2 linked regions of the Tamandua tetradactyla genome follow. The protein of the gene in region 2 interacts with the protein of the main gene of each other region in a biochemical or structural test. Links are inferred from orthologs where the notes say so. Each region holds a gene or a part of one and is shown on either strand. Other genes may lie near its edges.

Region 1 (8,008 bases), on a different chromosome or scaffold from region 2:
ATAATGGAGAAGAAAATGATATTAGGACATATGAAAAAATTGGAACTTACACTGAAAGCTTTATATCAATGTTAAAGTTCTTCAACTTGGTAACTGTACTTTAGGTGGTTACACAATGAATACCCTTGTTCTTAGGAAATGTACATGGAAGCATTACAGATTCAAGAAGCATGATACTCTCACATGTTTAGATAACTGGTAGAAAGACTGATAGACAGAAGGACAAATATAGAGAGTGATACAACAAATACAGCAAAATGTTAAAATTGGTGGATACGGGTATGGAGCAGGGGAGGGCATGTGGAGTTCTCTCCCTGTTTGGTGTATTATTTTTGCAATTATCCTGTTAAATCTGAAATTATTTCAAAATAAAAAGCTTAGGGGAAAAAAAATGCCCAAAGAGATGCATAATTTCTATAGTTTCATAATAAAGAAGAAAATTTTATTTCTACTTTTAACCCAACATACTCATTTTATCCAAATCTTAACCAACCAAATCACAAATATGTGACAAAACAGATAACCACTACAGAAACGTTTACAAATGAATTTCACAAGAATCAGTGAAATTTCTGCCGTCTTTGTTTATGAATGCCTGATTACAGAAAAAGTTTGGAAAAAAATTTATAGTACCACTCATGTGCAACTAATTTTTATGAAGAAAAGCAGTGATTTTAAAGAGTTGTTAAGGTCAGTGTTGTCACTCTAAAGTAGAAATGAATAAAAATCCCAAACTAAAACTCTTTAAACATTAATTGCTAAATTAACATTTTTAAATTATCTTTTACTAAATTTAATTCCTAAATCGCTAATCTATTCCAATTATCTAATCTAAGGAAAATATAAACTTAAATCCCAGGGTTATAAACACAGAGCTGCTTTTCAAAGATATTAAGTTATTTAAACTAATACTTTTATTTTGGACCACAAAAACTTGGTTTTCCTAAACAAAAACAAAATAAGGTAGACTTTCCTAAAATGTGTTATATTAAGAGTTTCCATGTTATTCCTTCACATGCATACTAATTGTCTAAGCTTGTACTAACTATGTACTTTATGCTGTAATTACAGTCCTGGAAATAACCAATATAATAACCAATGAAGCGCACATGTTCCATAAAAAAAAAGAAATGATTTGGCTATAAATATTACTGATGACATAAAAGGGATTCTAATCACTCCATGAGTCCTGATTACTGCCAGACAAACCTTATCTCAAGGCATTAAACTGAAAAAGCAACTACCTATTTCAGTTTTTATAACAGGAAAATACTGAATTCTGTCATTTGATATCTTGCTGTCTTCCTACTCACGTTTCTAAATTTTCCTAAAATGTAAAGTAATTTATATTACGTACACATCTTCTAGCAATACCCAGCATTTAACTTAACTCTAAAGACATTTATGGAGGAAATAAAGAATGGTATCACCGATTTTTTAAAAATGAGAAAAGATATCATTAGATGGGAGAAAAGGGGTGCTGTGTCCTAGGGGAGAGAAAATGGGGTATGACATAAGAAAATATTCCATCATTAGCACCAATCCACATATAAAACTCCAAAGAGCCAAGGAGCATCCAATCGGAGCAAAAACAAATATTTAGATTGCCAAGGTCCGGAATGAATTATCAGATTCAGAAACACACTTTTTAAAAAGTCAAGGATAAAAACTAAGAGAGCTTAAAATCTTTTCTCTGAAGCGCTTTTTAATAAAAATGAGTGAACTCTACAGAATATACAATACATAACGATGGATCTTGAACACATGCAAGTTAGTCTAGCAGCCACCGAGCCTAGGATGATGTCTTTCTAAAGCGACCTTAATTTCCTTAAGGGAAGATGGATTGGACATCTGGTTGGTAGTGGGGGGGGGGGGGGGGCACAAGAAGCTACACTTTATCTTCATTAGAAATGGTAAAGGGCAAGAGGATCAAAACATTATGAGAGAAAGAGAGGGAGAGGAGTGGGAGCAAGGGAAGAGGGAGGAGGGGGACAGAGGGAATCCAGTTTCAAACCAGGCCAGTGTGGGCTGCAGAGAAGAAACCAGAGAAAAATGGGCTTCTGCTCCAAAACTGTGACAAGATCGAGGCATCACAAAAGACCAATATAACACACACCCCACACCAGGGCACAGAGAAACACAACCCACAAGGTCTTCTCCCGGTGGGCCATAGGGGGCGGCGGGGGTGGCGGCGGCGCGAGAGCCAGACCCGGCATTCGCCTGGAAAGACACCATGTGCAGCAATTATGCAATTAGGGAAAATAGCAAAAGATCAAGCCTGGCACTTTCCGCCGTGACATTTATCCCGTACTTTTGCAAAGACTTAGTTCCAGGATGCGGCTAGAAGAGGGCAGGGGCTGGGAGGGCGTCGAAAGATGGGGAACTGAGAACCGAGGTGGGTGGAAGAAGTGCAAGGAAGGGAAGGGGCAGAAAGGGAGGAGGGCAAGGGGAGGAGGGGGAGGGGTGACTAGGGCGAGAAACGGGGGCAGTAGGCTCGCGGGAGGGGACACAAGGAATGGGCCACGCCAGAGAGCAGAGAGAGGGGAATCAGGGCGCGGGAGGTGTACACAGGGACCTGCGAGGTGGAAGGGTGGCCGGAGTGGGAGGGTGGGGGGCATGGGGGAAGGGACGCCAGCCCGGACCGATACCTCAGGGAGGGGCATCCGCTCAGGTCGCGGGCTCAAACCCAAGCTCGGGGAGAGAGGGAGGCCGGGATGCACGAGGGGATGGCGGCGCCAGAGGGAGGTGAGGCCCCAGGGACCAGCTGTCCCTTGTGGGCCGTCTAGTCACCGAAACCTGGACCCAGGCACCCGACGCCCGGCCACGCCTGCCTCCGCGACGCTCGCACCCGCCTGGACTCACCCTCAGTGCCGCGGCCGCCACCCCCGGCCGCCCCAGCTCTGGCTTCCGAGGCTACTGCCCGCGGCTGCCGCTGTGGCCGCCCCTGAGTCCTGGAAAGTGAAGCCACCACCTCAGCGAGCCGCTGCCGCCGCCCGGCCGTCCGCGCGCGCGCCCGCCAGTGCGCGAGCTCGCGCGCCCGCCCGGGAGAGACCGCGAGAGCGCGAACCCCACGTCGTCCGTGCCGCGCCGCGCGCCAGCCCTACCGGCCCCGCTCTCCGCCCCTCCTCCACCCGGCGCGCGGCCGCGAGGGGGGAGGGGGCGCGCGCGCACGGGCCGGCTGTCCCGCGGGTCGGGCGAGAGGGCGGGGAAGCCGTGCGGAAAAGTTAAGTGACGGCCGAGTCCCGCGTGCAGGCAGTGGGCTGGGATGGGCGAGGGGAGTCCGTGGAAAAGGAACGGCAGGGACGGGAGAGGTAGGGAAACCGAGGCTGGCGCGGGGCGTCTTGAGGGAGGGGGCGCGGAGACCTTGACGGGCACGCGCATTAAAGGGATATGCTGGCTGAGGGGTGAAGGTCGTCCTAAAAGCTTGCGACTGAGGGGGATGTTGGCAGCAGGGAGGCGTTCTCGCCCCACCCCCACGCACCGTAGCCCTTGACTTCACCCCCTCCTCAGTGCATATGCGAAATAGCCTTCGGTACTGACCCCGTTGACACACTAACCCGTACTCAAAAGCTCCGTATTGGCCTGGAAAGTTCTCCCAGGCAAAGGCAAACTCTTCACATGACACTGCAACACAGAGGTCCTTCTGCCTTTTGACTTTGTGTGACCCAGAATGCACACCGGTTAGTAGCCAGAAATTCCAGGCCTTTTAGCCATGGAATATTGGGAGTGGGGATGGGGATGGGTGGGTGCTGCACTTTTCCTACTTCAGGCACACTTGAATGGTTTGAGTGGCTTTAGGGAACGTTAGATTCCCTTTTAATCTTCACCCCAAATAGCAATTTGAAAAATAAAAGTGTGTCTGCTATGCAAACTCAGCTTCCAGAGAATTTCTCCCACCCCAGCCCCTCTTGCAAACTGACTGCTGCTCCTAAACATTATATGCAGTCTCTGGAGCTGTATGGGATGGCGTGCTCTATCCAGACAGGACTGAAGATAGCCTCCCAAGCGTAGGAATAGACCTACTGGACTTGAACATTATTGCCCACTTAGGCACAGAATTAGATGAGGGAAACCAGCAGACCAGGTGCCCTAAGCTCTCCATGGAGCAATGAGCAGAGTCCAGAGTGACTCAGGCAACCAAAAGAATTCAGTTCGGTAAAACCAAAGAAAAAACAGGAGCAAATCAAGAGCCACATACATGTCTAGAACTGAAAATCCTTTTATCCAATGCCTTCTTCAAGGATTGGCTGTTACTTTATAACATCCCTGACAACTACCAAAAGCAAATATTGACCTGTAGCCTCAGATAAACACCACTGAGCAAAAAGTGGTGTGTCCCTATGTATCACTCAAGAACATCAAAAGGCTCTATTCTCTTTTCTGTGCCTCTCTCAGTGCCTCCTCTATTCTAAAGACACCAGTCTTATTGGATTAGGGCACCTTGATTCACTACAACTTCATCTTAATTTGCTTATATCTGCAAAGATCATATTTCCGAATAAGTTCACATGCGCAGCTACAGGGGGTTAGGACTTCCACATGTCTATTGGGGGGACATGATTCAACTCATAACAACCTCCTACCTGAGCTTTTTCCCCTGCCCACCCCTCCACACACACACAGCAGCCTGAGTGATCATTTAAAGCATAGGTTAGATCATGCCTCGCCTGTCTCAGAACTTCCAGTGTCTCCCCATCCTAGAACAAAGGCCAAAGTTCTTACAATAGCGACGTAGCCCTGCATGATCTATCTGCCACTACCAAGAACCCCTCTGATCTCACACAGTACAGCATTACTTCACCCTCATCTCCCTCCAGCCACACTAGCCTCCTTGTTATTATGAAACACATCAAACATTTCTCAGCCTCAAGATTTCTGTATTTACTATTCCCTATCTCTACATATTATTCCCTCCCACCCCACCCCCAGCACTTCCCATCCTCCTCCCCGTTTTATTTTTCTCCATGATCATCACCTGACATAATAAATATTTAATTTAATTATTTTAGCCTTCCCTCTTCTCCTCGCCCACAAATAAGCTCCTTTGGACACGGATTTTGTTGGTTGGAGTTCACTGTTAAGTTTATTCAATAAATACTGTTTGAGTTAATGACACTGAACTTTTCCAATTGATGACATAATAGATGTTGCTCTGATTTCTCCAGTAATAATAATCAGCATTTATTGTGTTCTCATGTTGTGACAGGTAAAGTTCTAGGCACTTTATAATACTAGTTCACAACCACCCCATGAGACTTACCCTATCATATAGATGGAAACATTGAGATGAGAACATTGTACAGATAAAAACATTGAGGTTTGGAGGGATTGAGTCAGTTGTCCACAGCTAGTGGGAGGCAGAGCTGGGATTTGAAATCAGCAGTTTGACTCTGGAGTCTAAGTTCACAACACTTTGTCATGAGTCCAGTGTTACAAACATAGATTTTTACTTGATTTTTCCCTGTTCCTCTCCCCTGAGACTCAAACTTGGTCTCCTAGACAAATAGCTCACTTTCCTGCTCTGATTCATCAATCCATCATGATGAACTCACTCTCTACTTTCCTACACTTCTTATTTCTAATCTTGAATATAGAGCCTACATTTTCCCCCTAGAATTGGCAGGTGGAAAAGTTTTTTGAAGGGCCTTTCTTATAACTTTTATTGCTGCCAACTTTGTGAGTAGATAGAATCACAATTAGTTTTCCAGTTTGACTAGAAGGGAGATAGAAAAGACCTCTCTGGGGGAAAAGGCTAGATTTCATAAAACACACCACATTGGTAAAATACCAACTTCCATTCTTTTTAGGCATCCAGTGATCAGTGGTTGATAAAATATTTGCTTCCCCTGGGGAGGGAACATCATATTAGTTCAGATTTACCAAAAATTAGGACCCTTACAAAATGAGATGGAAGACAATGTTTTCCTTCATCCTGGCTTGAAGGGAGCTATAGGCACCTGCAGTCACTCTGAATGCCATGGATACTTAAGAAGAGCAGAACTGATGTGGGAAAATTGAAACTCCTTAGGGCTGAGGCCCTAGGGACCCCATTATTTAGTTCAGTACTGAGATAGAGGCACATAGCAAGTGTTCAACAAATGTTTGTTGCATAAATGACTGAATGAATTCCTAATAGAGAATGAAACAGTGCTGACTGTCACACCTGGTTTGGGACTACCACCTGGGCCCCTATATATGACTGTATACATGGCACACTGCAAAACTTCACTGGGCACCATTCACATAAGTTATGATGCAAACACAGGGATCTGGATGCTACTTCCATATTGTAGCCCCTGCCCATGTGTGGTTATAAATCTCCAGGAGGTTCCCGATCATCACTGCCTCCTGTGTTCACATTCTTTTGTGGTCCCCTCCCACATTTACCAGGGTTAGTATAATGCTGAGAAGTGATGGTGTATCACTCTGAGATTACCTTATAAAAGACATTATAGCTTCCATATGGATTCTCTCCCATCTATCCTCCACCCTCTCCCCCTCCCTCCCTCCCTCCCCTTCCCTCCCTCCTTCCCTTTCTCTTTTCCCCTTCCTCTCTCTCTCTCTCCCTGTCTCTCTCTCTCAGATCATTTACTCAGAGGGATGCCAGCTGGTATACTGTGAGTAGCCCTATGAAGAATCCAAGATGGCTAGAAACTGAGTGCATGTGCAAGCAGATCCTTCAGCCCCAGCCAAGACTTCAGATTACTGAAACCCTGGTCAATTTTTTTTTTTTTTTTTTTTTGGCATGGACAGGCACCAGGAATCAAACCTGGGTCTCCGGCTTGGCAAGCAAGAATTCTGCCTCCTGAGCCACTGTCACACCGCCCCCTGATCAACTTCTTGACTGAAACTTCAAGAAAGATCCTGAATCAGACCACCCAGCTAAGCCACTCTTAAATTCCCAACCCGCATATACTGTGAGATAATAAATGTTTATCATTTTCAGCCATGAAGTTTTGAAGGTAATTGGATATGCAGCAATAGATCTTTGATACACTGTGCTTTCTGCTTTGTAATGATGAAATTCCCTCCTCAGGCCCCTACATATCAAGGATGCTATTGTTATGGCCAGTCCCTCCTGAAATTTGCTATTGCATCCAATTTCTCAGAAACACAAATGGAGGGGTTTAAGTAGGTCCTGAGATATGGGTAAGGAGTCTTAAGAGAGGATAGAGCAGAGATGGAAAAAAATAAAATCGGTTCAGGAGGGCCATCTTTAGACACCAGAGGTGTAAGAAAGGATGAATCTGCTCTGAAAGAGACAGTCAGAACAGAAAGGGGAGAATAATGACACAGGAGAGCCAGAGACTTGGAGAGCAATGAGCTTGTAGATGAGGTTTTCTTTGTTATAGTTATGATGCTATTATTAGTACAATAAATAAAAATAATTTTAACTTAGGGAAAACTCAGAAGGAAAGAAGCCAAGACAGAAGGTAGGAGAGCCTTACCCTGATCTGTGCTGTTCTTGGGCAGTTAGAGAGATGCTGAACTGGACTCTCTGGATTCATGATCGTGGCTCTATCTCTTCCTTGCTCTGTGATCATGGACAAGTTACTTCACCCCTCAAATCTCAGAGTCCTCTTCTTTAAATGGATCTTATTTTAGGAGCTAATACTTACGGTAGGGTTAGTGGGGAAGATTAAATAAGTTAATGTATGTAAGCAATTTGAAATTTGAATAGAGCTCTTGCATCAAAGTATGAGCTCCCAACCTTCCTAATGCTTTAATAAGTTGGAAGTCATGTCACTCTCAAGTCCACGCATTATTATTTCACTTGAGTGTGCCACTTTCTCTCACGAATAGTCTCCCAGGTCAGCCACAGCAGGCATCCGCCTGCATCCTGTCCTTTGTTTAAAAGCCTATTTTCCCCACTTTGTTGTAAGACCTCAAGGGCAAAGACTATGCTTTGTTTATCTCCATATCTGCACTTTATGTAAAAACTAATCACCCATTAAGGGTGGTCAAATGAATGAATGAATGAACAAACATAACTGCTTTTTCAATTGCC
Region 2 (7,581 bases):
CGCGCCCACTTATGAATCATGAATGAGGTCTTCAACCCTTGTATGACTCGTACGGTTGGGAGGTAAATAGCTCCACCTGGTGGTTGATAGGGCACTAACTGGGAAAACAGGTAAAGCTACAAAGAGGCCTTGCCCCAGGTTACATGAATAATGAATTAGTTGCTGCAGCCAGGTTGCCTTAGTAACCAAGAAAGGACATCAGGACCATGCTTCCTGATCATGAATTATGCATGATCGGGTGGTTGATTGACTAACATTCTGCAACCAGAAAGCAGATGTTAGAACATGGAAGCCACACCCTACTGTTGATGAATAATGAATGATTTTGCAGCGGCCGGGAAGCCAACGAGACCACTTCTCTTATCCTTATCATGAATAACCCATGAGGCCTGGTGGGCTGGAACAAAAGGGACAGGCCCGCCTACTGCTGCATCTAATACCCTGTAAGCAGGGAAATAGGGCTACTGCAGGGAAAACACATTCCTTCAGGCCATGAATAATGAATGACGCTGCTGTTGCAGCTCAACGTGGAAACCAAGAGAGATCAGAAAGGTCCCACCTAGCTATCATGAATTATGCATAAAGCTGGATGGACAGACACTCAAAACAGACCCGCCCAGCAGGGAGGGATTATGGTTTTGCAGCCTAGTTGCCAAGGCAACGTGGCCACGCCTCCCTGTTCATGAATAATACTGCCCAGCCACAGAGAAAACCAAGGGAGAGTGAAGCCTCCCTTCCCCACCCTCAACAAACTGCTCATCAACCTGATCTGTTTTGGTTCAACCAAACTTGCCTTTGGCAAGTGCCTCAGTTTCCACAACTGTGAAATGGGGATAGTAATAGAACCCACCCATCTCAAAAGAGTGAAATGAGTTATTATGAAGATCAGAATGAGCTTAGAACAGCGCCAGCACAACGCACTAAATGTTAAATGTTTAAAATATTATATATTGTTTTGAAGTGCGCTCCCAGAAAAACACTGGAAAACAGAATGCTATGGCCACCACAGTCCACGAACTAGGTAGGACAGACTACTAGGTCACCAGAGACACACTGTATACCAAAGCTCCAGGCACATAATAAGCACCCAATACATTTCTGCTGAATAACAATAATAAATCACATTAACTGATTACTCCTGTCGTGTACCCTTATATATGCACCATGACACCGATATCCTCAGGAAAACCCTAGCAAGTTGGTGCTTTTATGAGCTCTGTTATATAGAGGAGGAAACAAGTTCCTTCTTGTCCTTCAGGTCTCAGCTCAAAGGTGATCTCCTTATAGAAGTCTCAAATCCTCACAAAAATCATTTCTGTCTACTGATTACTCTAGCTGTGTGACTTGGCGCCAGACACTGCACCTCCCTCCGCCTTGATTTCCCTATCAGTAAAATGGGAATAGTAGTCTACCTTGTGATGGTGTTTAAATGAATAAATATGTATAAGGCACTTAGAATAGTGCCTGGCACATAGTATAGTAAGTGCGATTTGACTAACATTAGTAGCAACACTATTACACTGGGGGAGGTGTAAATCATGGAATTTGGTTAAGATGCTGACTCTGGAACTAGAGTGAGTGGAATTTGGTTAAGATGCTGACTCTGGAACTAGAGTGAGTGGGTTTGAATCCTGGCTTGGTTACTCACTGGCTGTGTAACCTTACACAAATTATTTAGCCTCGCTATATGGCTGTGTCCCAGTTTCCTCGTCTATAAAGGGGATAATAATAACCTACTTCCTAGAATTGTTGTGAAGATTAAATGGGCTAACGAAGTGATAAATGAGTGGGTGTTGATCTTATCATTATCCTCATACCTATTTTTCAGGCCCACAGAAAGATTTGCCAAAGACCACACAACTGGCAAAAGCGATAGGATTGGAATGCAGAGCCTTTGTTGATAACCTGGAATACTGGGCTGTGAGGTATTACGAACAATGCGCGAAACCCCGCCCCTTTGGAACCTATACGAGAATCTAACCCTGATCACGTAAATGAAGCCACAAAGGCCACGCCCCTCGCGAATTATGACCAACGTCCCTAGAAAGGTCACAGAAGACTCAGGGCTCTACTCACCTGCATGAATAATCAATGAGCTCTAGTTTGGCGTGGCTGATTTCAGAACGCCCCTGCAGCACGCTGAACCGCCCCCTTATGAATAATTCACAACCCGACGCTTTCCCAGACCAGGTGCGAAAGAGGCAAAAATCTGCTTTCCCCACGGCCCCACCTCCTCATGAATAATGAATAAAGCCGCGGCCAATGGAGGCCTGGTGGCACCAAGTCCTCTCAGGAAGAGATTAGTGGATTGGGCTCCTGCAGCTCTTCCCCAGCCTGGGCTGGGGCTCCTCTCCCCCAAAACGTGTGGGCTCCGACGTGTTCAGTCTCGCTATCCTGGATCCCCAAGTGTGGGAGGTCCCCATCATGAAACCAGGATCACAGAGGCCACAGATCCTCCCTAATGCCAGCTCGGTCCTGAACGTTCCCAAGCACTGTCACGAGAACCCTAAAACCAACCCTCCTAAAATCCCGCCTTGACTTCAGGAACCTTAAACTCCTCCTCTCCCACCCTTGGGAAACACCCCAAATCCTGCCCCATGGACAGCGTACTCAAACATGGGCCCCGTAGTTCTCCCAAACACCCCTCAAAACCCTGCCTCCTAGGGGGGCTCCCAAAAAGATTCCCAAATCCCATCCGGAGTCCCCAAACACCACCTCCCAAGAGTCCCTGCCAAAACAGACACCGCTAAATGCCACCCACCCCGGGTATGGAGCCTCCAAATGTGCTCACTAGTGTATCCCCGAAGTTGAGCTCCCTCCCCCAAATGCTGTCCAGGGGATTAGGGTCACCATGCTCCAGCTCACCCCCTGCGCCGAGCGGAGGCCTCGCCTTCCTGCTGGAGATGAGCCGAAGCCACGGGGCAACGGAAGAGCAAACCACCTCCGTCTCGCAATAGGAGTGAGAGTTTGCGCGGAGCTCGGAAGCGCGGGGCCTTGGAGGGCCCCCACTCTGGGCCGTACCACAGACTCTTGGAAGGAGGGGTGTTCGTCCGTGCTCCCGCGCCATCGGCACCCCTGTCAGATCTAGACACCCCTACAGATTTTGGTCCTTCCCGGACGGCGCGGGGCACACTGGACGTGGTAGTCCCATCTGGCCAGTGTCTGTTGCACGTGGTGGGCAAGAGCGCCCAGTTTATGAGAAAATATAAGCTAGGGAGGTGAGATTCCCGGCACTGCGCTAGGGGAGAAGGGGGAAAGGAGCGGAACATGGGGGTGCCTCCAGACCGATAGACTCACCTGTCCTATAGATGGGAAGACTAAGGCTCAGGTAGCCAAAGGATTCATTCATTTGACATTTATGAAGCTCAAATTGTGGTCCAGGTGCTGGGGAGTCTCCCTTGGCTTCATGGAGCTGATACTCTAGGGAGAAAGACAGATCATAAACTTAATAAGTAAGTAAAAGTTCTAGTTTCACATATAAATATGTATCATAATAAACGTAATTATATGATATACATTGTATATGACATACATATAAATACTACATATTTTATATGAGAGCTAGTAGCTATAAGGAAAAAGATTTACATCTTTTTGCATATAATAAATGTCTTATAGTAAATACAGTATATTATGTATTTTATGTATTCACATGAATAAATATTATATAAGTAAACGTATCATTAACTGCTAAATGCTATGGAGATAGAAAAGCAAGAAAAGGAGAAGGAGGCATAGGGTGAGAGGGGGGCCGTGCCATTTTGCATTGCTTCAGCAATGCATGAATGAGAAGTCCTGTTTGTTCACAGCCTCACCCACAGTGTATTGCCAAGCCTTTGGATTTTTGCCAATCCGGTTTCATTTTTATTTGCATTTCTCTTATTATTAGTAAGCTAGGACATCTTTTATAGGTTTAAGGATTTTTTGCTTTTGTTTTTTTCTGGGAACTTTCTATTCGTGTCCTTTGCTTATTTTCTATTTGGTTGTACTTTCTATGGCTTTTTCTCCTTTAAAACTTCTTTATATATTAGCCTTTTTAAAATGAAGTTTTGAGGATGAGAGTGATTCAAACAGTTGTGGTATGTGTTTCCAAGATCTGGTATGTGCCAAACCATGTTCTAGGCCTTGAATAAAGCAAACAAATATTCCTTCCCTCTTGGAGCTTTCCTGCTAGTGGAAGAGATACATAATACAGAAAAGCAAGTAAAATGTATCTAGTATGTTACAAGTGGAGAAGTAGTAGAGAGAAAAGTAACCAAGGAAGAGGCATAGGGAGTGTGATAGGGGAGGGAATGGAATTTTAAATGGTGTAGCCCTGGCAGGCGAGATTTGAACATTCGAATGTCATGTTGCTTTAGTTTCCTTTAGTCTGGAACAGTTCTTCAGTCTTTCCTTGACCTTAATGACCTTTACACCTTTGAAGATTACAAGTCAGTTATTTTGTAGAATGTTCTTTGGTTTGAATTTGTCTGATGTTTCCTCATGATTAGATTCAGGTTTAATATCTTGCATGGAAATATCCCAGAAGTGATGCTGTCTTTTTATTCCATCCTTATTCCATGATTTTAACATTGATCCCTTTTAACTTTGATCCCTTGATTAAGACAGCATTTTTGCCAGGTTTCTCTACTGTAAAATTACTAATTCTCCCTTTGTAATAAATACGAAGTTAGTTGAGACATGCTTGATATTAATAAAATTATGTTAATATCCTGTTCCTCGGTAAAGTTTAACAAGTTTTACCATTCATAAATGATTTTCGAACTCCATCATTTGTTCTGAATTATTAGTTGGCATTCTACTGTAAGGAAGAGCTTTCCTTTCTCCATTTACTTATGAGTACAGATTTACGGATTCTTGAATTTTATCAAATTGTTTTTCTGTGGTTGAGGTTATGTTTGTTTACTTTTAGTCTGTAAATGTACAGAACTACCTACATAGCTTCTCTGATGTTGACCCAATTTTGCATTCCTGGGAAAAACTGATCAAAATATATTTGCTAAATATACTATTGGATCCATTTAGCTAATATTTAATTTTTGCTTGAAATTTTCTCTTGTATAGTCTCATCTCTTTGGGGGATCAAAATTACAGTAGCCTTATAAAATTACACAAGACATCATTCGTTCTTTTCCTAATATGTAATTTTTAAAGAAAATCTATTTGTACCTCTAGAGCAGAAATAGGTAATGGCGCAAGTATGTGCAAACCATACTTCTATGAAATGGATCCTCATGCCACACTCTTTTTCAATACAGACTAGTTGCTGTAACATTCCTCTCTGATTTTCAAAATCCAGTCATCACAGATGCTTCTGTTACTCAGTTTTAATGAGCTCAGGCTAGTTAATGACTCATTTCTTTTGTCAGTTTTCTTTTCCTCAATAACTATCAAAATGTATCCTGCCACTGTCAGGGCAATCATTTATATAGCTGATCTTCACCTGGATCTTGTTTTTTACAGCATCGAGTATCACAAGGGAGACAGTTTCTGGGATTTCATTTTCTTTTTTAAAGTAACCTATCAGGCTCTTCCTCCCCCTATCTATAGATTTGTGGAATGGCACTCTGTAGGTTTAAGAGTGGGATGGAGTTTTTGGGCTTTCCTGTGGTTTGGTGCAAAATCCATTTATTCTCTTCAAATCAGTCCCTGGCCCAGGACAGGCAGCCCAGCTTCAGTTTCCACTGCACATGATTGGGAATTCCAGGTGGCTGATTGGCCAGCAGTGAGCGTTAGAGATGAGGAAGGATCTCTTTCACATAGCCTGAAACATTCCTATTGCTAGGCACAAGCTGCGGAGACCACCCATGACCATTTACCCAGTGAATAACATCCTCCCTACCCCTGCCACTGCTCTATCACCATAAATTTGTTCTGCCTAATTTAGAACTTTACATAAATGGAATCATACGGTATGTACTGTTCGTGTTTCACTCTTTCACTCAACGTTGCCTGTGAGATTCATCCATGTTAATATTTGTATCAGTATTTTGTTCCCTTTTATCGGTGAACTATATTCCATTGAATGAATATACTGTAATTTATTCATTCTCCTGTTGTTAGATGTTTCAGTTGTTCCCAGTTTTTGGCTATTATGAATATAGCTGCAATAAACATAAGGTACAAGTCTTTTTGTAGGCATGCGTTTTCATTTATTTTGGGTAAATAAGAGTGGAATGCTGGGTCATAGGGCAAGTGTGTGTTTAATTTTATACAAAATTGCCAGTTTTCCAGAGTGACTGAACCATTTTACACTACCCCCAGACATGTATGATAGTTCAATGTATGAGGGTTTTCTGCTGTAGGATTGCAGGTGCTGTGCTCTGGGGGTAGGAAGAGGGAATACTGCATCTTCACCAAAAGGTACACCTATCCTGAGACTGAGGTGGCCTCTTTCTAGTCCTATTTCCTCTCCTCATTCACACCTCCTCCTTTCTGCTTACTTTCCCCTTCCTCTCCTTTCTCCCACCATTTCTCACTGAGCAACACCCACCCCCTCTGCCCAAACCAGCACCATTGCCTCCTCTAGGGGCCTCTTCTCACTACTCATCGCACACAAATGGTTGGGAATGGTGGCACAATGCATATTAAGTGGGGGGAGAGGCTTAGTGCCAAATGATCTTCCTACACCATTTTCCTTCCACCCTCCTCTCAACTCACCACCATGTGTTTCTGTGGGGAGAGGGGGGAAGTGCGTGGTGGTGGGTCCCTGGTCCCATTTCACAGTGCAGTCCTCCCTGGCCCAGAGGGGGAAGCCCAGCTTCAGATTCCACCGTACATGACTGGGAACTGCAGGTGGATGATTAGCTGGCAGTGACTGGGGAGGGGGACACCATGGTAATAATCGCTCAAGATTTGGACTGGAGGGGATTGGGGAAGATGCCAGTGCCCCATGGGAGCATTCCTAGGACCTGGGATTGGCAGACACTTTAGACTCCAGATTGTGGATCAAGTGCAGCTGGGGAGCCATGAGGCCAGGGATGGGGGGATTCTGAGTTCCTGGAGATAGGGGGAACAAGACTTGGAAGCCATGGGGAGCTCAATTGGATGAGGTGTCCCTGGTCCTGAGGGATAAGACATTGTGGGAGCAAACAACCAGAGTGGGAGGATTTGGAAGAACTTGAAAAATCCAGCTGCTCGAGGATGGGGATTTTGTGGATGGAGATGGAAGCCCAGGAATGGGTGTGACCTCACCTCCATGTCAAGACAGCCTTCTCTATCTCAAACCCCCTGGGGTCATTAGCCTGTCTAGGGCAGTGGAACTGATTTGACAGTGCCTGCCGTATTGACTTGGAGATGCCCAACGTTACTTACTGTACCCAGGCCCAAGGATGGCAACGTACAGTGTAGACTCCAGATTGTGTATCAAGAGCAGCTGGGGGGCTATGAGGCCAGGGATGGGGGTATTCTGAGTTCCTGGTTCTGTAGAGGCAGATCTAGGGGTACTTCAAGCCCAATGGTACCCTGGTGGTGCTGGATTTCCTGGTACAGAACGGCCTGCTGGACCCTGACAATGGTGAGAGGCTGTAACCAGGGTCTTGGGGGCACCAGCCAGAACCCCACATTGTCCCCACCTTCCCA

Evidence for each region. The genes of interacting proteins can lie anywhere in the genome.
Region 1: of the proteins of UBA1 (region 2) and UBE2E2, one has a biochemical effect on the other in vitro, tested with the Homo sapiens proteins (4 studies listed by BioGRID, with this or other methods). The link is inferred for Tamandua tetradactyla from reciprocal best matches to the Homo sapiens genes UBA1 and UBE2E2.

The regions. Positions count from the first base shown.
Region 1 is NC_135341.1:65,248,756-65,256,763, forward strand, and holds the start of UBE2E2 (ubiquitin-conjugating enzyme E2 E2), read right to left. Parts: upstream 3,002-8,008; 5' UTR 2,863-3,001; intron 1-2,862.
Region 2 is NC_135353.1:123,057,751-123,065,331, forward strand, and holds the start of UBA1 (ubiquitin-like modifier-activating enzyme 1), read right to left. Parts: upstream 3,013-7,581; 5' UTR 2,866-3,012; intron 1,905-2,865; exon of another isoform or gene 1,818-1,904; intron 1-1,817. UniProt on the Homo sapiens protein: Catalyzes the first step in ubiquitin conjugation to mark cellular proteins for degradation through the ubiquitin-proteasome system.